Linked DNA regions of Caenorhabditis elegans. The protein of the gene in region 3 interacts with the protein of the main gene of each other region in a pairwise test. Each region holds a gene or a part of one and is shown on either strand. Other genes may lie near its edges.

Region 1 (6,298 bases), on a different chromosome or scaffold from region 3:
GCAATTTTTAATTTTCAGGGGTTTCACACATTTTTATATTGAAATTTATCAATTTTTGAATAAATCTTAAAAGAAAACACAAAAAAATTAGAAAAACGCCTGAAAATTAAAAATTGATTAAATTCAACGATGACGCAATAGCTCGTAAATCTACACAAATTGGTTAAAAACTACAGTAGTTTTGTCTCTTCCCGCGGGTTCATTTGCGCGGCAGATATGGCGATTTTTCTGATCTGTGGATAAACACGTAATATGAAGTTTGAATTGAATCACACTGAGAATTTCGAACTTCCATGTTAATTTTTTCATCATGTTTCACTACTTGCATATTCTTCTCAGCCTCTCCTTTAATTTCAATTTGTCGATCCACGTGGGATTCTATTTTCAAAAATTTAGTTGAAAAATGTGATTTACTGTTTCAACATTACAAGATATTGCTTTGTGGTATTTTTTTAAATTTAATTAATATCCTGTTTAAATACGGATATAGGTTCATCAGATTTTTTTTTGAAATTTTGAAACTTTTATTTGTACAATTAAAATGTAAATGTTCTTTACAAAAGATTAATAAGTATTCAAAAAAAAAAAGAATCATCACACTCAAACTATCCGAACTCTAATGCTTGGTAATATTTGGTGCCTGGCTTGGAACATACATCATCGACAGTTTACGCTCGGCTCCCTCAAGACACACAGTTCTGACGAGGGCTCCGGTGACGGTGTACGGGTCACAGTTGGATGATGGACGGCGATCTTCGAAGTATCCGTATCCATCATCGTCGGTGGAGCGTGGAATACGAATGGATGAGGCACGGGATGCGACTCCGTAGGAGAACTTGTCGATCGATGCGGTCTCGTGGAGTCCGGTCAAACGACGCTCGTTGTCTTTTCCACCGTGTGGATCGTAGTAGGCAATGTGTTGTGGGTGGACAAGGGAGAGCTTGTTGATGGCGGACATGATCTCGCTGAAAAATTAAATAGTAAGTATGACGTCATAGTTTTTCGAAAACTAGGTAAGATTTTTCTAAGCCGAATTTTAATAGAAGCCCGCGGTGTGTATGGCCTGAAGAACAAGCTAGGCCCAAAACTTGAATTTTCTAGACCAAAAGCCCCCAAGAAATTTTAGGCCATAAAAGGATTGTTATCCATCAAGGTTCCTCAGCACTAGGGCTGGCATATCGGGCGTCCGTAGTCCGGTTTTCACGGCGGCCGACAATTTACTAGTTTAGTCACTCATTGTAACATTTATGATTAAGTATAGTGAGTGGCAAAACTCAGAAAATGTCGGCCGCCGTGAAAACCTACTCCTCGGAAAATGTTCAAGCACTAGGCAACTATCTCACGAATCAGATTTTTGATGCCCTAAAAACTCACTCAATTCCTCCTGGATTTCTCATCTTATCAGTGGAGAAGTTGGTGTGACATCCGGCTCCGTTCCAGTCTCCCTTGATCGGCTTACAATCGAACGAGGCGATCACGCCAAACTCCTCGGCGACACGTTGCAGCAAGTAGCGAGCCACCCACAACTGATCTCCCATCTGGATTCCTTCGCATGGCCCGACCTGGAACTCCCATTGTCCGGGCATCACTTCGGCGTTGGTTCCCGAGATCTGGATTCCGGCGTAGAGGCATGCGCGGTAGTGAGCCTCGACGATGTCGCGACCGTAGACCTTGTTGGCGCCGACGCCACAGTAGTATGGTCCTTGTGGTCCTGGGAATCCGTTCTTTGGCCATCCGAATGGATGTCCGTCAATGTCGAGAAGGGTGTACTCCTGCTCCATTCCGAACCATGGGTGCTGGTCGGCGGCCTTCTCCATCACCTCCTTGCATCGCTGGCGGTAGTTGGTGGCTGGAATATTCACAGTTTAGAAAAAAGGATTAAAGGACGATCCGTTGTGCTACACTCAAAATAATAAACGGCCCCACATTTTTACCGTCCCCTCACGGGGAAAAGGCAAAACTCGGGACCAAACCAATATTAGGCCGCCGACATCTGACGAGTTCCGCGCGCCGCTGCGTTTAACTCGTTGTGGGCGTGGCAAGCTGTCTCCGCCCGCTGCGAGTTAAACATAGCGGCGCGCGGAGTCCGTGAGATGTCGGCGGCCTGATATTGGTTGGGTCCCGAATTTCGCCTTTTCCCCGTGGGTGGACGATAAAAAGGCGGAGCCTAAATATTAGGTTTTCTGCAATACACACCACGCAGTTTTATTTTTTTGAGTGTATGTACTGCGGATCTAGAAGTCAGGTACACTTAGTGCTCCCACTGGGCTATAACTTAAACCACGTCCTAGGCGGGGACTATGGCCGATTATGCAGTCGTGGATTGCTCCACTTCCCAATAGAGGCTGGGCCGAACTTGAATTCGTGACCTCCAGATGGCTAGCGGCCACCACTAGCTATCCTGCCCCTCATTGTTTTGCGTCTTGAAAAGGAACTTTGGCCAGTTCATAAGTTCACTTATCAACCGCCCGTCTTATCAACTCGTGGTCAACCACCCCATCCCTCTGTACATAGTACATCACTGTTGACCCAACAGATGAGCCTCCGAGGGCGTCCGATTAGCAGACGGGGGGCAAAGATGGATGTGTAGTCTAATCTAGGAGGCATCAAAGCACACATTATGAAAAATATACCATAACTGGTTCTAATCAATTGTTAATCAAGGACTACGCGGCACTGACCACCTGACACTTGGACCCCCACTCTCTCTCTCTCTCTCTCTCTCTCGCCTTCGTCGTTTATCTCTACCTATCTCTTCTCTCGGTGTCACCATCGAACTTCCAAATACTCACCGGTTGGCTTCTTCTTGTTGTCATAGGTCTCGCACATCACCAACTTGTTCTTTCCCTGCCTAAATGGGTCTGGGTAGATGGCGACTGGCTTCAGGTAGACGTCGGAGTCGGCTCCCTCGGCTTGACCGGTGGATGATCCGTCAAAGTTCCAAATTGGGAGCTCTGGAAATCGGAGGGAATTGTTGTAAGGTAGCAAGATATGGGGCTTGCATCGAAAATTTGAAATATTTTGTTAAAGTTGCTACGTGGAATCCGAAAATCTTAATTGAAAATTCATACTTTTAACAATTGCCGTTTCAATGACATCTAAACTAAACTAAACTAGAAGCATCTAAACTAGATGTTCTGGAATTTCTGCAAAAAAACAAAACTCACTCTCTGGGTCAGTTGGCTCAAAATCGAAGGTTCTGGTCTTGGCACGAATGTTCTCGCCGGATCCGTCAATCCAAATGTAGAGGGCCTGGTACATGCCCTTTTGGTCCAAGTTCAGGAACTTTTGCAGGACCTGCTTGTCGGTGGCGAATTGACTGCGGAGTGATTGAGCCATTTCTGTAATTAGAAGGTGTTGAAAAATGCGAAAAAAGCGTTGAAAATCATACGCGACATGTCTGGGAGAGTAGGAATGGATGGTAGAAACACTAGTGTACACTGTTTTATAATAAATTGATATGATATTTATAGTGACAAAAAGGAGAGCTTAGGCGGGGGGCAGAGTACTCGGTGATAAGGCAAGTGTATACGAAGTGAGTGTCTTGGAAAGCAGAGTGAAAGTTCTTTGAGACTGATGGGCGGGGCGGGGCGTTGGGTCACGTGGTTCTAGATAAACCTAGATTTATGTTGATTTCGATGACATGGGAAGACAATAATAGTGGGAGAGACACGAGAGTGTTCAGAATGGAGAGACGCAGAGAGAAAACGGGGGAGATAAGATATGTGTATGCATACGTGCATTTGGTCTTTGGACTTGGTCCCGCCAATTTGCATAGCGTTTGATTTTTGGTCCGGTAAAGGTTTTTTTCTGGGAAATTATGATTTTTAAAAATATAAAAAATTTTAAATTTCATTTACCAAATTTCATTTTTTTTCCAAATTTTTGCTGTTTCAAACGTTCCATTTCTTCTAGTAAACTTTAAGAAAAGTATTTGCAGTTTCTATCTATAACATTTTAAAATAAATTGAATTCTTCCAAGAATTGCAAGTTTTTAGCATAAAAACTCAAAAATAAATTCGAATTTTCATTGAAAATTTTTTTCTGTTTCAAAATATTAATTTAAAAAAAAAGAAAACTTTTATTTTCAATACATAGCCGTTTTGGTCAGTTTTCTCAAAGATCTGTAGATTCTATATTTCTTACACCGCCCGACTGCCCATCTGCACTTTGTGCACAGAGTAGCACGGACACCCAATCTTACGTTGTAACAGAGGGGTCACTTTATTTGAAAAACGAGAGACACATGCGTTTTTCACGTGATTCCACGAATTTTCTTATCAACTCTCAATCTTTAGTGATAAAAAAGAACATTGAACCTATGAAAGAAAAAATAAAAGATTTGAAAGTTGGGGAAGTGATACAATGATTGAAATATTTTTGAAATAAGAATGTTTTTTTGAAAATAAATTTCACTGTTTCTTACTGTCTATAATTTATCCTGATTTTTTTCGCTTACGTTATAGAAAAAATAAAAGATTTGAAAGTTGGGGAAGTGATACAATGATTGAAATATTTTTTGAAATAAGAATGTTTTTTTGAAAATAAATTTCACTGTTTCTTACTGTCTATAATTTATCCTGATTTTTTTCGCTTACGTTATAGAAAAAATAAAAGATTTGAAAGTTGGGGAAGTGATACAATGATTGAAATATTTTTTGAAATAAGAATGTTTTTTTGAAAATAAATTTCACTGTTTCTTACTGTCTATAATTTATCCTGATTTTTTTCGCTTACGTTATAGAAAAAATAAAAGATTTGAAAGTTGGGGAAGTGATACAATGATTGAAATATTTTTTGAAATAAGAATGTTTTTTTGAAAATAAATTTCACTGTTTCTTACTGTCTATAATTTATCCTGATTTTTTTCGCTTACGTTATAGAAAAAATAAAAGATTTGAAAGTTGGGGAAGTGATACAATGATTGAAATATTTTTTGAAATAAGAATGTTTTTTTGAAAATAAATTTCACTGTTTCTTACTGTCTATAATTTATCCTGATGGGGGCAGATAGCTCAGTCGGTAGTGGTGGCCGCTAGCAGTCTGGAGGTCACGAGTTCAAGTCCGGCCTCACCCCCTAGGTTCACCCAGCCTCTATTGGGAAGTGGAGCAATCCACGACTGGATTATCGGCCACAGTCCCCGGCTAGGACGTGGCTTAAATTACAGCCCAGAGGGCAGTGTACCTGAATCCCAGATCCGCAGTGCATTGCACTTGAAGAACGGATCGTCCTTTAATCCTTTTTTTTAATCCTTTTTTCGCTTACGTTATATAAATAAGTAATATGGGAAAGCAAAATCAGAAAAAAAAAGTTAAAAATCCCAATATACACCTCACTTTAAAACTCGTTTGGGAATTGAAAAATCATAAAAAATGTTCCAATCTAAAAATATTGTTATTATTCAGTTGATTTTTTTTATAGAGAATAATGGACACATATTTTGTGAAGATTAGAAACACTACAAAAAACCGATCATCCAAGCTTAAGCCTAACCCTTAGCCTAAGCCTAAACCTTTACCTAAGCCTAATCCTAAAGGCAAAACCTAAGTCAAAGCCTAAGTCAAAGTCTAAATCAAAACCCAAGCCAAAGCCAAAGCCTAAGCCTCAGTCTAAGCCTAGTATAGGCCTAAGCTTGAACCTAAGCTTAAGCTTAAGCCCAAGCCTAAATCTAAGCTTAAGCCCAAGCCTAAATCTAAGCTTAAGCCTAAGCCTAGGCCTACGCCTAGGCCTAAGCCTAGGCCTAAGCCTAGGCCTAAGCCTAGGCCTAAGCCTAGGCCTAAGTCAAAGTCAAAGCCTAAGCCTAGGCCTAAGCCTAAGTTTAAGACTAAGCCTAGGCTCAGGCCTATGCCTAAGACTAAGCCTAAGCCTATACTCAATATTTGGCCTACACTCAACTAATCATTGAACATTTATCGGCCACGAAAACCTATAAAAACAAGAGAAAACGGTGATGTTTGTGTCTCGCCGTCGCACACTTTTATATAACGGAAAAATGTGGGTGGAGCCGAAATGACTCCGCCCACTATAAGAAGTTTCAATGACACACAAATATATTTGATGATGGGAGGAAATGGGCGGAGCCGGGGGTATGATGGGGGAGAGATCAACTTTTGATTTGGAATGGGAAGTATGGGAAAATATAGATTTTTTGGATTTCAAGTTAGAGAACGTATTGAAATTTTCAATAATGTGCCATTTTATTATTAGAATTTTGAAACCAGATTTTTTTTTCAAAAAAAAAATTATCAATCAAATAAAAACGTTCTGAAAATAAATTCTTCATATTCAAAACAAACT
Region 2 (8,587 bases), on a different chromosome or scaffold from region 3:
TCGTATTTTTTCTTCTTTTATAAAATAGTATTGATTTAAATGAATGTGTGGTTCTTTCGTGATATCTTCTATTATGTCAGAACAATTAAAGAAAAATAAGTAAATGAGCGATTTAGTGAATGTGTGTTACCTGGGAATTTTCGATATATAACATTGCTTTTGTATTTTTTAAGGAATCGTAGGTAAAATATTGTAACCGTTTATACAAATGCATTTCTACATGATCATAATATTTGAACTTCCCCCTAATTGAAAACTGCAAGATCAATCAATGATTAGCTCCGCCCCTGGTAAAGTTCGAATACGCTGATTGGTTATAAAGAGGACGTGGCTTGTCATTTTGGAGGAATTTCAAACATGAAAAAATTCAATTGAGAAGAGATTTCAATTTTAAAATTGATATTTCTGAATTTCAAAATATTTTGGGTACTTGAAGAACCGTAAAGAAAAATCCCCAATCACAAGTTCTAGAGTATTCAAGAAGAAAAAAACCATAAAATAACAGAATTGGAACGGATCTTTATTCCATCGAAAAATAAAAAAAGAATTTGAAATTAAAAATGATGTTAATTGCCTGTTTCAGATGTCAACGTGTCTGTGAGAGAGAGAGAATTCATGTTAAAATGTTAAAATGAATATAATTATCTGACAAAACATGATGGGAGAGAGAATACAAAATTTCAGTTGTGGACGGAGAGAGTGATGACTGTTATTTAATGGAAAAGTATGGGGGATTAGGTTCGAAAACCAGTAGAGGTCTACAGAAATAAAAGCAAAAAAAAAGGTTTAAATTTTTTAATCGAGATGATGCCACTGAGCAACTTGTCTTCCTGGATTCTCAAGAACTTCGACAACGTGAGAATCTTCCATATTAAGAAGGGCACGGCCAATTACATCATTACGGTTAACACGGTCATGATTGATCACCTGGAAGCATATAATAATATTGTAGATATTGTAATCATATTAACGGCGCTCGAAATCCCTTTCCCTTTGGGTCTCGGCTTGATAAGTATGTATATTTTAGAATTTTTGATTATTTGGGTATTCGAAAGTTTATCCGTTTTTATATGCAACAAGAATAGTATATAACCCACATGTGGAATTTAGCGATATATCACCAAAAGAATACAGTACCCGGTCTTGACACGACCGAATATGAGTGTGTTTCTTAATGAGTACAGTAATTTCCACGCCTCGCTATCGCGAAAATTAACGATTTTTTTCCTTTTTTCTTCTAAAAATATGTTTTATTTAGCCAAGTACTGAATGTGAGAAAAAATTATGAACAAAATATAGATAAACGAAAAAAGAAAAAAAAGACGAAAGGAACTGCGAGTCGTGGAAACTACTGTACTTTTTAAGGGGAAACATTTATTTTAATTTAAAAATATAAAGTCGTGTCAAGACCAGGTGACGCATTTTTTTAGTCATAAATCACAAAATTTAAACTCTCAGTGTTATAAGGCGTGTTTGCAGTCCTCTGTGAGTTTCTGTGGTGCTACCATAAGCTGTTCCTCGCGGTGAGACTATTCAAATATATATGTGCAGCTTAAAGTACGTTTTTCAGAAGGAAAGTTGCGAAGGTTTGATACTTTGTCGTATTCTTCATAATTTTTCCCTTTTCTCACTAACCTGCAAGTCAATAACAGAATGTTCCAATCTATCATCTGGAAGTTCAAAGACAAACGATTCGTTGTAGACAGGATTCAAAGTAGACCTTCTCACATGTGTTCTCTTTTTAACGATACGTTCTCCACTTTCCTTGCGCAAGTATAACTTGACAAATGGATCTGGAAAAATGTTCTATTTTTAAACATTTTCTAGATCACTGCAGTCATTCATTGAGGATCATGAGATTGTTCATGCGAGAAATCAACAAAAAAAGGAATCAAGAGTCTATACCTGCAGTTCCGGCATCGTTTCGTCCTCCGAGTCCACGGGCTTTGAGAACAACAACTGTCAAATTGTTGAATGCAGCTTGATATGTCAATGAGAGAAGAAGCTCTCCACGAGCAGCTACAGTATCAGTGGCACGTGGGAGGAGAGGGAGTTCAACTCTGGAGAATTTTAAATTAGCATCAAATGTCTTTTGTTAATAAAAAATTTAAAGAATAGTTTTTAAAATGATAAAAAACGATAAAGCAATATAAGATAATTCTGTTTTGGTATAAAAACAATGTGACCGAGTTTTCAAACGTGTGACGTCACCCGGAGCCTCTTAATTTGACATGCGGGTGTTTAAAATATTTTTTGTCTAATTTGTTCTACATTTCGATCTTCTCCCTTTTTCTCTAGAAAAACATAGCATATAAATATTTGAAGTCTGTAAAGTCTGTAAAACAAAATAATACCTCATCTCATTGTGAACTTGAAGTTCTGCATCAGCCAATCTGTAGACACATTCTCCAACGACAGTGTCTCGGGAGTAACGATCGAATGCGACGACCTGAAAATCCTTTCATGTTTTCAAAAACCCTTTGCTCTCTACCTGGAAGTGCAACGTGGCAAAGTTAACTTGCTCGTGAGTGACTCCATACATTGCAAATTGCTCCTCATAAACTGGGCTGGTGGTTGAACGAACGATACGCGTCTTGACACGATGCTCACGTTCGGGAAGTAGTTGTAACTTGACATATGGATCAAGGAGACATTGTCCGTCACGAGAAACTACCATCTCACAGAGATTTCGGCAGTTTATGATACTGACAAGAAGGGTTAGAGTGTGAGAGTCATAGCTCAATGTGAACGAGATGTTTCCACGTTCGGATGGAAGCTCTGATGGGGATAGCTGAAACGAATAATTGAGCAACTATAGTTATTTTTAATTGGATTTGCCAGAGCCCGGAATTAGGCTGTTAGCCTCGGCCTTCAAGTTTGGCTTTTAGGTGTAGGCTCTCACAATTGGGGTTTCATAATTAGATACTCCTATTTTAGAAAATATAAATATGTTGCCTACGCCATTATTTTACGACTTACTTTTCTGGTTCGATCCTCCAAAAGATTCTGCAATGGAACGACTGGCGATGGCGTGGAGTCATTAGAAAGCGGCGATTGAAGAGGAGATGGGCTCTGCTTTAGGCCTCCAGGGCCCTTGGGAAATCCACCACGGACAGCAATCACCTAGAAAAATGTATGTAGTCCTTGGTCTATAATGTGTTTTGGTTGTAATTATTCATGGTCATATCTTTATTTTTCTCTTACTAATGAAATTTAAGAAACGAAATGAGACTCGTTCTTTTCTTTTTTTCTCTATTTTTTCCATTTTTTCTTTGCTGTGGACAAACAGAATGTGACGTTGTTCGTTCAAAGAAACATTAGAAATATTCAAAAATAGAAATTGATCCCTGGATTTTGGTAATCTAAAGAGAAACGGAAACCGATAAAGTGCAAGAAATATGGAGAACAAGAGAGGAATTGAAAAGTGTACGTGTACTCTGAGGAGTTCTGAATGTGACTAATCATCAATTTTTAATGAAATTCAGACAGACACGTAACCTCCTGAAAACTAGAACAGATGAAACCCCACTGAAAATAAGAAAATGACATTAGAATCCTAGGGATCAAAAATTATTAAATTTGAAAAGGTCAAAAAATAAATTTGTCGACTGAGTTCAAGAGTTCACTATATAAAAAATTGAGATTATTTCAGCTATAATTCAAACTATTACCTGTCTCGGGGGAAGAAGAAGTGACGGATATTGACGACGTTTACGAACTGCGAGAAGAGCGGCAACGGCTACAAGAGCCGCGAGACCGACGGCTCCACCAACTCCGAGATAGAACCATTCTGTAAATTATTTAATTTTTTTTTAAATCATAATTCAGTGGTTTTAGTTTGATTTTTTCAATTAGGACAGAAGGCATCACGATGGTAGAGTTGGCAAGAGTTAAAAATATTGAAAATGAGCTCTGATCGGCTATGCTCACCAAGAAACATGCAAGTTTCAGAGAAAAACTTCCAGATCTCTGAGCTCTAAGTATCTATTTTCTCATAAGCTTGAGAATCCTTTAAATCCTCAATTAAGCCTCATTTCACATGCCGCTCCCTCTCACACATAAAGCTGCTGCTTCCTCGTTTTTTCACTTAATCATTTAGCTGCTTCTCGGAATAATTCGAAAAGCTCGAGGGCTCACGGAAATGACAACAAAAACAGAGAAAGGGAGGATAACAAGGAATTTCCTGGTTTTCGAGAAAATCTAATTAGAATATTCTGAACTTTTTCATAACATTCTAAGATTGAAAATCAAATCAGAAGGGAATTCAAAGTTTACTTCGCCTACGCTAAGCTTCTCCATTGAATCTAGCTTGGTTAATCTTGTCTGAGAAAGTCCACGACTTTAAGATGATCAACAAAATGACGTCATAATCTTGTTAGTAAACATGATTTCTGAACAGAAGTTTAACATATTTTGCAAAATGTTTACTTTATTCAAGAAATCGCCGAGAAGATTTGAAATTTCAAAGGGTTTCGAAAACAATAATATGTTTCAAAATGAGTAACTTTTTGTTAATTTTTGGACAAAGTTAGCAGTACTGATGTCATTGGTGCTAAAAATGGAGAACAAGTTTACAACTTTTTTAAAAGAGGTGACGTCAAATCTCTGAAGCCCGAGAGCTTCCACTGAACTTTTATATATTCACAAGAGCCCATCATAAAAAGGTGTCGAATTACCAAAAGCACAATTCGGGAAATTGGCACGCTCAAAGAATGTGTAAACAATAGAGTCATTTTCGAAAATTGAATATTAGACGTGGTGTATTAGTTGATTGATTCCAAGAATATTGAGTCAGAATTCGTCAGAACCGATTTTCAGCCAGACACTGAAGCCAAGTCGCACTTTTGATGAGATAGACATAAGTTTTTGAAAAACTGGCAAGTTGTACTTAGTTATACCGAATGCCTAGGCATAAGCTTATGAATAGTTTGAGTCTAGAAACATTTCTAGATATACTGTTACGAGCCAGGGGTGTGCGGATAACCGATTTTTTTCAAACGGATAAATCGGCTAATCGGCTAATGCCGATTTTTTGAGAACCGGCTAACGGCTAATTCGGCTAACGGCTAATTTCAAAATTTTCGGCTAACGGCTAATTCGGCTAATCTCAGTCATTCAAATCGGCTAATTCGGCTAATCTCAGTCATTCAAATCGGCTAATTCGGCTAAATCGGCTATTATCCGCACACCCCTGTTACGAGTCAGAAGAGAAAACGCATTTAGGTTCACATCCAGATCGAGTCGCCTCTCACCATCTACGCGCTTTCTGTGGAACTTCTGAATTACACTGTAGGGTTCACGTCAAAATACAGTACCTTAATTGTAAGCAGGCGCGCGGGATCGCACTGCTAATTGAACATAAAACAGAAAAGTGAAATTATTTACCAATTTCTTCCCCCATTAACACGTAAATTACGATCATTCTGGGAACATTCACTCAAAATTATTGAATCATTCATATTCAATTAAAATTTAAGAAATAAAAATATTGAAACTAACCATGTCCCGCGCTCTTCGCCAACCCCTCCTGATAGTGGGGCATGTGACGAGAGGACGTCGATCGGTCGGCTGAAGAAGACGACGACCGGGCAAAAAGTGAGTGAGCTTGCTCCGTGGGAGCTCTGAGCCAGCCAAAAAGAAAGAAGAAGATGAAGAAAAGAGAACGACGAGAAAAGGGAAAGAGACGGAAAAATAGGAAGAGAGAAGAGAAGGGGGAGGAGTCAGATGGGGTGGATGGAATAGAAGACGTTGTGTGTCAGCTGGGATGAAAGAAGTGAGGGAGAGAAAAAAGGGGAAAAACGATGACGAATAAGTTTGGAGCACTTGTTGCTCTCTCATTCTCCTTCAAGCCAAAAAAGCCGCGACGCGAGCCGCCTCGCGCCAGACAACGTCACAAAGTGCGATGGCGAAGGAATGAAGCAGAAGGAGGTGTGAAAAAAGAGGGCGAGATGAGATTAGAGAGACGATGGAATTGAGAAAAAGATGAAAACGAAGAAGATTGAAGGGAAAAGTAATTGGAAAAGATATGTGTGCATGACTACGGTAGCATTGATTTATGACCCGCTTTTCTGTTGTTTCCCGTGACTTCACTTTATCGTCAGACTGAGTAAGTCTATGGTTGTTATGACATAAAAAGGTAAATATTCTAAAATATGATGAATCAGGTAATAATGGGAGAATAAGAATCAGAATTGAAATGAAAACATAGCCAGACTGATCAACTTTTAAAAATACAAAATAAATGGAGCAGTAACATCTAAATTTTCAAAGTAATTAGGTTATAGTCAATGAAACTCAGGTAGGCCTTTTTTTAATGGCACAAAAAACATAAAACTCGGTTGAGAATTTATCTTAAATTTTTTACGGTCGATATTTTAGATACGGCGGGAAAAGTTGGGAGAAGCTCGAATGAGCTTAGTGTCGGTAATAAGAGATTTCCCTTTTCCATTAATTTTTCATTGACAACTCTAATAAGTTCCCAATCCAAGAAATAAATCTGAGTTGATCCACTCATTAATCCCTTTCGCAAGAAGATTACATCGGATAAAGTTCAGATAAAGAATTGGTTTCCAGAAAGAAAATGCCAGGATTTTCTTTCTTTAATGTCATTTTTCTAAGAGACTTTTGCACCTGGTTCAAATTGTCTAAGACATTTAGAAATTGTACGTGCTCAAAGATGAAGCTCGCTCCAGGTTTGAAATTTCAAAAATTTTCCTGGGTAACAATGACTAGAGAAAATGTTGATTATTTTTGACGTTGGCAAGGTAATGAAGTCTGTAGTTCGAAAACATTGTATGTTTCTGGTAATGGCTAAAAATAATGCATAACATGTAAGGGAAACCTCAGAAATCATGTCTTTCGTGGTTTGCGCAGCTATCCATCCATTCGTCTAAAAAATGCTCATTGATGTATAATTTGTCTCGAAATTCTCGATTTTGTCTCAAGAAAGTCTAAAGTCCACATATTTTGCAAACCGAGCACACATTCATAACCCGTCATAAGTTTATAATCCGATCATATGACTTCATGGTCATAATTGTCAGTATCCTTCTATATCTCTCGTGCTTTCCAACTTATAGAAGGAAATAGAGATACTTTCATGGGAACAGGAGAAAGAAGAGAAAATGAGGATGAGATTGAATTCAATGGGAAAATAGGATTTGGGTGTAAGTAAAAGGAAATTTAAAAAGGAGTTAATAAAACTTAAAAGGAAGATTTATGGTAAGCTGTTCGATTATGATGACACCTTTTAAATATTTATAGATGGGTTCGGAGTTTCACTTAGATTTTTGGTGTCATAGATTTGGAAGATTACAAAATTTACGAAACTTTAGGTTTCATTTTTCTTAACATTTGCCAATGTTATTTGCTCATTTTATAGAAGTAGTTTTTCCCAACTGGGACTACTTGCAAATCATTCCAAAAACCAAGAAATGGTTGGAACCTATGTTTTGAATTTTCATATGATGTGCCATTCCTAGATTTTTCTTAAATTGGTTTATCAGCTTAACTCGCTTAGAAATTAAACCACAAATTTCAATTTTTGCAGTTCTCTCATTTAAATAGTATCTGTTCTCTCTTGCAGACTCATTTTAATTTGAATTTTGTGTTCCAAACGGAGTGCTCATAAAACTATCGGACCTCCGTTTTTTATATGTGACATCTGACTGCTTTTTAGAACATGCATTTGAGTGAATAATTCATCAAATATTCCTCAAACTAGGAGATGAAATGGGCAAAAGAAAAAGATGCGAAAAAGGGTAGTCGGACAATTAAGTTTAAGAACGAAATATGTTTTATTTAAAATCTTATGTTTAGGTTATCACAAAAATTCAAGCGACACATTTAGATATTTCGCACTCGCTCCCAATGACTTAAAATTGCAAACTTTTGATTAATTTTATAGTGTTGTGAACATTTTGAAAGCTTTTTGGAAAAGTTAAAAAATGGTTTTTTTTAAATACTTTACATTTTTTCAAATAAGCTGAAAATCTCCAGAATGTTTACCAACATTCTTCAAAATTGTAAAAGATCTAAATAAAACCGCATCTGGATAAGTTTTACAAACTTCGAAATTGGATAACACACTGAAATAAATACATATAAAATGTTTAATGTTTTTTTTTTCATTTTTCTTAAATGTATGGGATAACCTAATCAAGCCCATACACTGGTTTCTGAATTAATAAAGTCTTCCCAGATAGGATCATATTAAAGATAAAATTATTTTCAAATTAACAATAAAAATAATTGCTCAAACTTTAGCTTTGCATTTTACAGAGACGTGACGTAGGCACAAGGTATTTAGCGGGAACGAGGAGGGCGAATAAAGAGGCGGCCTTGATTGGACCATGTCATCTGCTCAGTTACCATAAAAGTCATACCATAAAATTGTAGATTTACACATTTAACTTGTGTTATTGGCACTTGCACATCCTAGACGAAATTTGCTATGTGTGTTATTTGAGAAAATACTTTTTTTTTTGGAAAACTAAAAACATCTTGATCAAAGTTTACAAATCATAAATTAGAAGTGATTAAATATTATCAAATGCTCTTGGAAACCAACTTGGAAACAATAACAAAA
Region 3 (8,852 bases):
TGTGAAGCGTATTCTACTTTAATCATTTATTGTTTTTTTTAAATTTTTATTTTTTTTTTTATTGAACCTTTATTTGATTGTTCCCTAAGCATTCCTAGAAAAGTGGAAATTTGATTTTTGAACATTGTACTTAAACAAAAAAGCAAGAAGCTCTCATTAATGATAGGTGCGCAAACGCACTCCAACCTAATCCGCGACATAATTTTCCCCCATGTACATATATCACGTTCTCTCACAATAAACCTCTGACAGGCCTAACCAATGTCTAGAAAAATGTGTTTTTTCTTCAGTTTATTTTATGGCCATGTTGTTGCAAGCATTGCATTTTATTTTACTTGCTAAAAAAATTTGACCAATGTTTCTGAACTGTAAGTTCAAGAAATTGAAGAAAGTTTATGCACCCGAAAAATTACTAAGTCTTCTCCCAAAGCGTTCTTTCATGTTTTTCAAGCATCTAAGACAAGCTGACGAAAGCAATGATGTTTTCGAATCTAACGGCTTCTTGGTTATTCAATTATTAGTCGGATAACTTTATTCAATTCATTTTGTGGTGTGAGCTATTTAGCTTTCAGCTTGCAGCTTTTGGTGTTTTCTCCAAGTAATAGTTCGAAGCCCGGTATTTTTTTAAATAGAAAATTTACAGAGATGCTAACTCCCACTTCTACTAACCTTTTTTTTAAGTTGAAAGCTCAATGCGTTTACCTTTTTATCTGAGATGATTAATATTTTAATTTTATTTGAACCAGTATTATTAGACGAAGATATATTTTTCAATTACTTATTTGATTTTTTCTCTTCAGACAGTTTATATTTTCTAAACCTTTTTGGTTTTTTATAAACATGAGCTTTTAACTTTGTTGAAGCTTGAGAAACTTTTAATTTTTCATGAAATATAACTTATTTTATGTTTCAACGTCTCGAATATCTTTCCCCTCTTTTAAATACTTTTACTTTTTTCTCGTTTTGCATATGACTCATCTACTTGCTGGAATGCAAAAAAGTATGATGAACAATTTTTAGGGTGAGGTTAGTAGAATACAAGTACTGCAGACACAATATACAATACCTTTCCACAAATGGAAGATTGTGTCTGTGTGTATGAGATGAAATAGATAGAGAGAGAAAGAGAGAAAGAGAGAGTGGCGAGTGTAGAAAGTAACATTTAACAGAAAACGGCATTGAAAGATAGAGAGAGAGAGATGCAGAGAGGCAAAGTGATAGAGAGATGGAGGAATAGTGGTGTCCTGCGTAACTTTTGTCGTCGTTTCTTATCACTTGTTTACGTGCACAGTGCCCCCCCCCCCCCCCCCCCCCCGATGATCAACATTTTTTTGTGAACAGACAACAACATTTTGAAAGGTGATTTCAACGAATTATCTTGTTGAGAGCAAACGGGTCTGAAGCATATTCGTGGCTTAGCAATCTTATCAATTAATTGGTTTTCTTCCAAAAAATTGAGTAAATTGTATAGTTCTATAAGGTTTTTGTAACTGAACACTATAACTTAAAAGAATAACTAAAAATGTACATGCGTCCCGAAATACTTACAAAAATATTTGCGAACCCACACCGTCTAAATGATTCAACAAAAAAAGTTTCGCAATATTATACTATCAGGCAATTTTTGTAAAATCTGACCATTACACATACGGGATTTCCTGAAATGTGTGGTCTTGCGAATTTCGCAACTTTTCATGACAAAAATGTGTTTGGTCACAAAAACGGTTTCTCGACACTTTTTCCGAAAAAAACGTTTGCACTTTTTCACTATTTTTAAATCTATGTTCTGCTTAATTTCATTTCCACTTTTCTCTTAAAACATTTGACAAAAACTATAAGTTCTGACTCCCAATACTTTTTTCGTCGTATTTCCCTTCCGTTAACTCACTCACTGCTCTAGTTCTCAATAACAATAAATCAAGCGCTCAGTTTTTTTCGAGTTTTTATGGGCCCTTTTTGGGGGAAATGAAGGATAAAACGATAAAAACTGCAAAAGTATACTAAAAATAGTAAATTGAAGTTTAAAAAATTTAATATTCCGAAAATTGAAAAAAAAAACCCCATGTTATATGAGTTACTTGCCGCCCACCCACGGAAATTATTTATTTCTGCGTTAGTCATGCAACTAGTAAGAAGATCCCGCGGAACCATGAGTTTTTCTTTGTGATATTTCCAAATTCAGTATCTCCAATTAAATGATTCACACTTCGTTTTCTCCCTGCTTTATAAATGACTCAGCTATTCATGGCAGCTCCATCTTGCTCCTCCTCCCCAGCTTCCATGTTGCACTTGTTCACATCACATCCCATAAAAATTCATGCACCCGCTCCAAGGTTACTATTGGTTCCCAGTGACAACACCAACAAAAACGGATTTCGGTTCTCGTTTTGGTCTGGCACCTTGATTTCAATTTGAATTTTTACGACAACACATCCCGGGCAACGGTTTTTCGCTTTGTTTTCACATTAATTTTTTCTCACTGGGATGAAAATGGGGGCCCCTCTTTTTTCCCTTTTTCTATTTTTCTGCTTCCTACTCACCAAATTGCTTCTGCTCTCTTCTCATTCTTCTATCTTTTCCTCACTTTTTTCCTATTCCTATTTTTCTTATTTCTTCTATTTTTCAACGATCTATTCCGCGTTTTTCTACAGAATTTCGTACTCTCATTCATCAAATCTGAGAACCCTCCGCCAGGAGAAAAAAAGAAGGAAAAAACGTGATTCCCAAATCTTTAATTAAAGGACCAGATTGATGGATAAGTAACGAAAGACCAACACTATCTATTTTACATTTAGATTCGAAAAAAGATTGAATGACACCTCTAAATTTTGTTCACAAAACCGCGAAACCACCATTTGTATTCTTTATTGTCATTTTTCCTCATTTTTCGCTTTGTGAAAAATTTACCCACCGTATTTTTTGCTGAAATCCGTGTCTCTTGCTCTTTCCTTATCCTCATTTAATTTTTGCAGACGATCGCTGGTCGGCGAATTCTACAATTTATGTAGATCGGTGCGGAACGTCTCTCTAGAGTCTTACATCATGGAGCGAAAAGGTAAGAAAAATCTCATTTACCTCAAATTTGCCAAAGCATCTAATTTCGACTTGTTGTAGGACGTGAGCGCAAGCTGCCGGGCATGAAGATCGTGATGCCAACACCGGTCGAGACGCCCACAATGAATCTGGAAGACAGATGTCTTATCAAGTAAGTATTAGGTGATACCCGTGTCGGGTTTGATATTGAACACGTAAAGACGGCGCGGCGAATTATGTAATAATAATATAAGTATGAGAAATTTTTGATTGATGCAGATTGACAAACGAGTCCGAAGAGATTGAGATTGCCGCCACCGACCTCGTCGTACTCGAAGAACTTGGAAAAGGTGGATATGGGATTGTGGAGAAAATGCAGCACAGGCAGAGCGGGATAATTATGGCGGTAAAAGTGAGTATCACAACAAGAACAGTTTGAAAAAATTAACTATGTACATATGTTTGGTAATTCACCAAAAGCGGTTTTTTCAAAAAAATGTTTCATTTTTTCGTAACTTTTCAAAAAGTAACTAAATTCAAATTCCTATTTGGCTGGTGCACTAATAAATAGGCAATTTGTATAAATTTAAGATATTCATAAAATACTTTTCTTTAATTAGGGAAAAACTATTCTAATTTGAATGCAACGTGTCATTTTTCACATACAATAGTTATTCAAAAGCAAATGCAAGTTAGCAAGATGAAGATTATTGAATTTAGGTGTGACTGCAAAAATAATAGTTAGTCTTCATTGCCAACGGAAAGCATTTCCATTTTTTGAAGGGCGCCGTGTGAGACGACACACTGATTGCCTTTTGGCTGTCGGCACACGCGCCCACACGTCACCTTTGAAAAGTTGGTGTATAAATTAAAATTTTCGTGAACAAAGGTAAATTATGGAAGTGAAGAAATGAGAATTTGAGGATAGGATTTCAAACGCAGGTCACTCGTTTCTGATATGATGAAAAAAATCTTTTTTTTTTTGAAAAGGAACATGAGAAATAGATTCAAAGTAGCTTGATATCAAACATTTATGGAATGTATTGAGATTTATCAATACTTACTGATTTCAAAAATTCATTTTCATCCATACACTAGAATAAGTGACTAGGTGATTGTACATCAATATGTATGTTAATAGGACATACCAACAATAAGAACAGTCTGTGACGCGGAAATTTTCCATAAAAAAGGTCACTTCATAGATTTCATATGTTGAACTTTCACTAGAACATATTGCAAATACTTCATATGTAGTTGTGGCAAAGTTCAAGATTAAAGTAAATACAACATGTAAATGGAAAACTGATCTGACCAAAAAATGTTTTCAAATCACGAATATTTAAATTCTCAATATAAAAATTAATCGAAACTACAGATTTAAATACTAAAAAAAAATTATAAATTAAATATTACTGGTTTGAACCGAGACTTAAGCAAATCGCGTATTGAAAAAAATAAAAAATGAATTTTCAAACTAAATCGAATTTATCTTTTAAATTGATCCTAAGCAAATTTCATTTTCTTACAGCGAATCAAATCATCAATCAACGATCAATCTCAAAAGCAGATGCTCAACGAGCTAGACGCGTGCAGGAGAAGTGATTGCTGTCCGCAAATGGTACGGTTCTATGGAGCAATGTTTCGCGAAGGTGATGTCTGGATTTGCATGGAAGTGATGGACACGTCGCTGGACAAATTTTACCGGCACGCATACAAAATTGGCAAACACATTCCAGAGCCGTTTATTGGGAAAATGGCTCTGTCGGTCATTGAAGGACTCAACTTTATGAAAGAGCAACTGAATTTGATTCATCGAGACGTGAAACCGTCGAACATTCTGTTAAATCGACATGGACAAGTCAAGATTTGCGATTTTGGAATTTCAGGTCACTTGACAAACAGCATGGCCAAGGTACGGAAAATCGATAAAAATGAGACCTCTATTAAAAAAATGAAATGCAATTTTATTTGCCGAATGATGTCATGCCAATCAGAGTTATCTTTCAATTTCATCATGACCGGGAAGAAAAATTTCAAAATATATATAGTGTTTCGATTTACAGACTGTACAAGCCGGATGCAAACCTTACATGCCACCAGAGAGAATTGATGGAGAGACTAAGTCAGCCTATGATGTGAGAGCTGATGTATGGAGTTTGGGTATAACAATAATTGAAATCGCCGTTGGCACCCATCCCTACGCAAATTGGAAAACCCCATTTGAACAATTGAAACAGGTTGTGAAAGAGCCGCCACCAAAATTGCCGATGGAAAGTGGTTTTAGTGTTGATTGTCAGTACTTTGTCAAGAGATGGTGAGTTTTTTGGAGTTTCTGGGTGTGGAGTTGGGAAGAGTATGAAAATTTGCAAATTGCAGTCTTGAAAAGGATTACAATGAACGTCCCAAATATCCGGAATTATTGGCGATGCCGTTTATGGAGCAGGCAAGAAATGAGAAGCAATTTAGTATGGCTCGGTTTATCAATGAGGTAAGATTTGCTGCTATCAAAAAGACAATTTTTTTGCTGAAAAATTGAGAAAAACAATCTGTAAATAAATGGGTAAAATTAAATTAAATGTTTATTAATTTCTCCATTTAAATGAAACGTGAAATTGATTTTTAATTTTTAGGCTTAAAAATTGTTGTCTAAGTATAATTGTCCTCCTAAGCCTTAAAATACAAAAGAGTTTTATTTTCTATGTCTAAAAATTCAAGTTTAGCGTTAAAATTTTTGGACGATAGCTTTTAGTGAAAATCGGTATTTTGTTACAAAACACTTTATTGTAGAAACTAAACACTTTAAAATAAATTGAAAATTGGTGAATGATGTCAATTTTGTGAAGTGTGCTTAAATTGCTTTAAGAAATAACAAAAATGCAAAATAAGTGCAATAAAAAAACAATCAAAAAGTCAGGTTATTTCTGAGAAATTTCGAAGAGTAAAAAATGTTGTCAAAAAATCAGTTCGGTACATCAGCAAAGAAAAGTATAGATCAACTTCAAAACATCACCAAAACTTAGCATGTACAGTTTGTTTCCAGCAGGACCAACTTACAGTAAAAGCACCACTGAATGTTATTTTTTATAATTTTTTGTATTTTAATCTGAAAATCGTTTTATATCTGACAATCTTGAATCTTACTAAGGTCCGATGGGCACCTTCTGACGGTTCCCTAGTTAGGTAAAAACTATGCTAGATTTGCGAAAAATTGCAAAAACTTCTGAATTCATTCATTGCAGATTCTCGACACTGTTTGGCGACGATGAGCATCGGGTGTGCCGAATGGCGAACAAGTCTTTTTCTAGTACGACACGTCTCAAATTGAGAATAGCGTTTTTTTGTACGCCTCGCTGGCCGTCAATGGAACATCGATATTTGTTGAATAATCAGCAACGTGGACGGAATAAATTATCACTTCTTTTCCCTTTTTGTCAAATATTGAATTTTATGTTCTTATGTTTTGTTTATATCATATATCTCTCAGATTCCAATTATTTCTTTGCTTCTGGTAACCGTTTCTTTCCGAGTCAACCGCTTATCCTTATTTCATTTTCAATTTTATAGGAAATCTTTCTCTATCGCTTCTTTTTTCGTGTCTTCTCCTCGTAGTTATAATCAATCATCGGTGTTTTTCTACATTTTTTTTACGTTTAAATGTTCAAGTAGTTTATTAGCATCTGTGATTTTTATTTTCAAATGGTAGCTCATAATTTTCCAATCAAACTCGAAATGACCTAGTTGTTTTCTTAAATGATTTTAGTAGTCATTCCTATCTCATCTCATCAGACTTCTCATTTCAATTGTTTAACTTCTTCCTCTGCATATACAGTGCCATTTTCGATGTCAAATTCGTATTCAACATGGATTATTCTACTCTAGAAATCAAAAATGTATTCTATTGCACCCCTCCTCCCGCATTTGTTTCATCTGTGGGTTAATAATGATATTTATAAATTGATGTGCTGTTACAAAAACGAAAACAATCAACATCACTTATCCTTCTTTCTATTTTTCTTCTTCTCTGGTCTTATGCGCTTATTCTCCTTATAACAGTTCTTGCCCAGAAAATCAGCGTACACGTTTCATTTTCTTTTCTGTTCGTTTTCTCCCCTAACTCAGACATTACAAATTTCTAAACGTTTTGTTTTCAATTACACCAACCATCCCCCACTTTTCTCCCTCACCCCATATCAAGGATATGAGTCTCTTTTGGTTTATATTGCTCGAGTAAAGATTTTTTTTTAATTCAGATAACGGTTAAATATCGTGAATTGATGTTGCAATGTCTTCCTGTTTCAGAGCTATGTAAAAACTGACGCCAGTGATAAAATAATGTGGCAACCAGAGGAAGGAAAAATATAAGAATGTGAAAAAGCAAGTTTAGTTCAAATTTTTCAATAGTAAATCACACTACGACTTGATTGGGATAGTTGGTTTTGGTTGCTTTTCAAGATATTTATAAAAACGTTTTTTAAATTTTCCAATATATAAATAGAGAACGAGTGAATATCATTTTCCTTGTTTGAATTGCCATAATTGATAAATTGAAAATATCTGGAAAATAATATAAACAAAAAAGACCAAGAAATATAAATGTTTTGTTTCATTAAGGCACATCATGTACGGACTTCTATTTTACTATTATTTCTATCGTTTTCACCGGAGTTTGCTAAAGTTGCAAAATTCTTAAAAACAACTGATGCTTGTTTCAGAATTGCAACCGACACAACCGACAGCAAAGTTGCCAAAGCTTTCCCAATCATCAAGCATACATTTTTGTTGAACATAAACCTTGGAGTGTTTTCGTGAAACTTTGTTAGAAAAATTTTTTCATTAGAAGTGAAATGCTACTAACTTTCTGGATTGTTGACGCCGGGTTTGCCAGAGCTATCAAATATAAAATTACGAGTGTGGTCACAGATGTCGAGCCACAAGATTCCCGGTGGTTGAGTATGAGCAGCCACAATACGTTTTTATATATATGATGTAACTTTTTGAAACATGTTGAAACTTTTTGAATTTCAATAATAACAATTTTCTTTCTAAATATTGCAATTGACGTTGCAAAAAGTTTTCACTACATGAAGTGAGCAGTACCATTATAAAAACAATAAATTTTCTTGAATCGGTACATGAAATTTTCAGTTTTGAGGATTTGAAAAATATGTAAATACGAAATATGAAGAATACATAAACCACAGAAACATGATCAATTATCAAAACACGGATTTCATTAATTAAAACAGTAAATCAAGAATTCTTACTTAATCATATTTTAACAGCATTATAATTGTATTTCTCACGAAAGGAAAGCTACAGCAGGAGGGAAAAAACAGTAAATTTGATTAAGTTGGGGAAAACCTATTTCTAAACCGTTCTGGTTCTTAAGGAAGTGGTATTGTCTGTGCGTTTTTCGCCTTAATGACAAAAAATTTCAATATGGCATATAAATTTTATATGATTTTCTCAATTTTGCAAAAAAAAATTCGATAAGGCAGAATTACTTCCAATATCCCGCGCAAATGAATGACCTTGTTTTGACATTTTTTTTTTCGTTTTCCGGCTGTGTTAATCAATTTTTACTTGGTTTTTTGTTTATTTTGTAATTAAAACAAATGTTTTTCATAATTGCAGGCACTTCGTGATGAAAATTCGATTTAAAAATTCACCGAAACTGTAAAATTGTCCTAAAATCGATAATTCAACGTTTTAAAGACCTTTTTTGCAAAAAAAATGTCTGAATATTTGAAAAACTGTGTTTCAAGTCAATAATTGAAGTAAGAGAAAAAACAAAAATCTTGAAACTAGGCATTCAT

The links. The genes of interacting proteins can lie anywhere in the genome.
Region 1: the proteins of sek-1 (region 3) and gln-3 interact in a two-hybrid assay, tested with the Caenorhabditis elegans proteins (one large-scale study listed by BioGRID).
Region 2: the proteins of sek-1 (region 3) and snt-4 interact in a two-hybrid assay, tested with the Caenorhabditis elegans proteins (one large-scale study listed by BioGRID).

The regions. Positions count from the first base shown.
Region 1 is NC_003282.8:16,167,281-16,173,578, forward strand, and holds gln-3 (Glutamine synthetase), read right to left. Parts: upstream 3,399-6,298; coding exon 3,392-3,398; intron 3,342-3,391; coding exon 3,168-3,341; intron 3,151-3,167; exon of another isoform or gene 3,130-3,150; intron 2,955-3,129; coding exon 2,793-2,954; intron 1,850-2,792; coding exon 1,375-1,849; intron 966-1,374; coding exon 617-965; 3' UTR 501-616; downstream 1-500.
Region 2 is NC_003279.8:6,433,106-6,441,692, reverse strand, and holds snt-4 (C2 domain-containing protein), read right to left. Parts: upstream 5,648-8,587; 5' UTR 5,543-5,647; coding exon 5,500-5,542; intron 3,791-5,499; coding exon 3,672-3,790; intron 3,124-3,671; coding exon 2,980-3,123; intron 2,792-2,979; coding exon 2,492-2,791; intron 2,450-2,491; coding exon 2,355-2,449; intron 2,061-2,354; coding exon 1,906-2,060; intron 1,794-1,905; coding exon 1,636-1,793; intron 928-1,635; coding exon 796-927; 3' UTR 501-795; downstream 1-500.
Region 3 is NC_003284.9:7,813,762-7,822,613, forward strand, and holds sek-1 (Dual specificity mitogen-activated protein kinase kinase sek-1), read left to right. Parts: upstream 1-2,972; 5' UTR 2,973-3,042; coding exon 3,043-3,055; intron 3,056-3,114; coding exon 3,115-3,205; intron 3,206-3,312; coding exon 3,313-3,445; intron 3,446-4,564; coding exon 4,565-4,948; intron 4,949-5,099; coding exon 5,100-5,350; intron 5,351-5,412; coding exon 5,413-5,524; intron 5,525-6,275; coding exon 6,276-6,302; 3' UTR 6,303-7,275; downstream 7,276-8,852. UniProt on the Caenorhabditis elegans protein: Dual specificity protein kinase which acts as an essential component of the p38 signal transduction pathway which is also composed of upstream effector nsy-1 and downstream effector pmk-1. May phosphorylate pmk-1.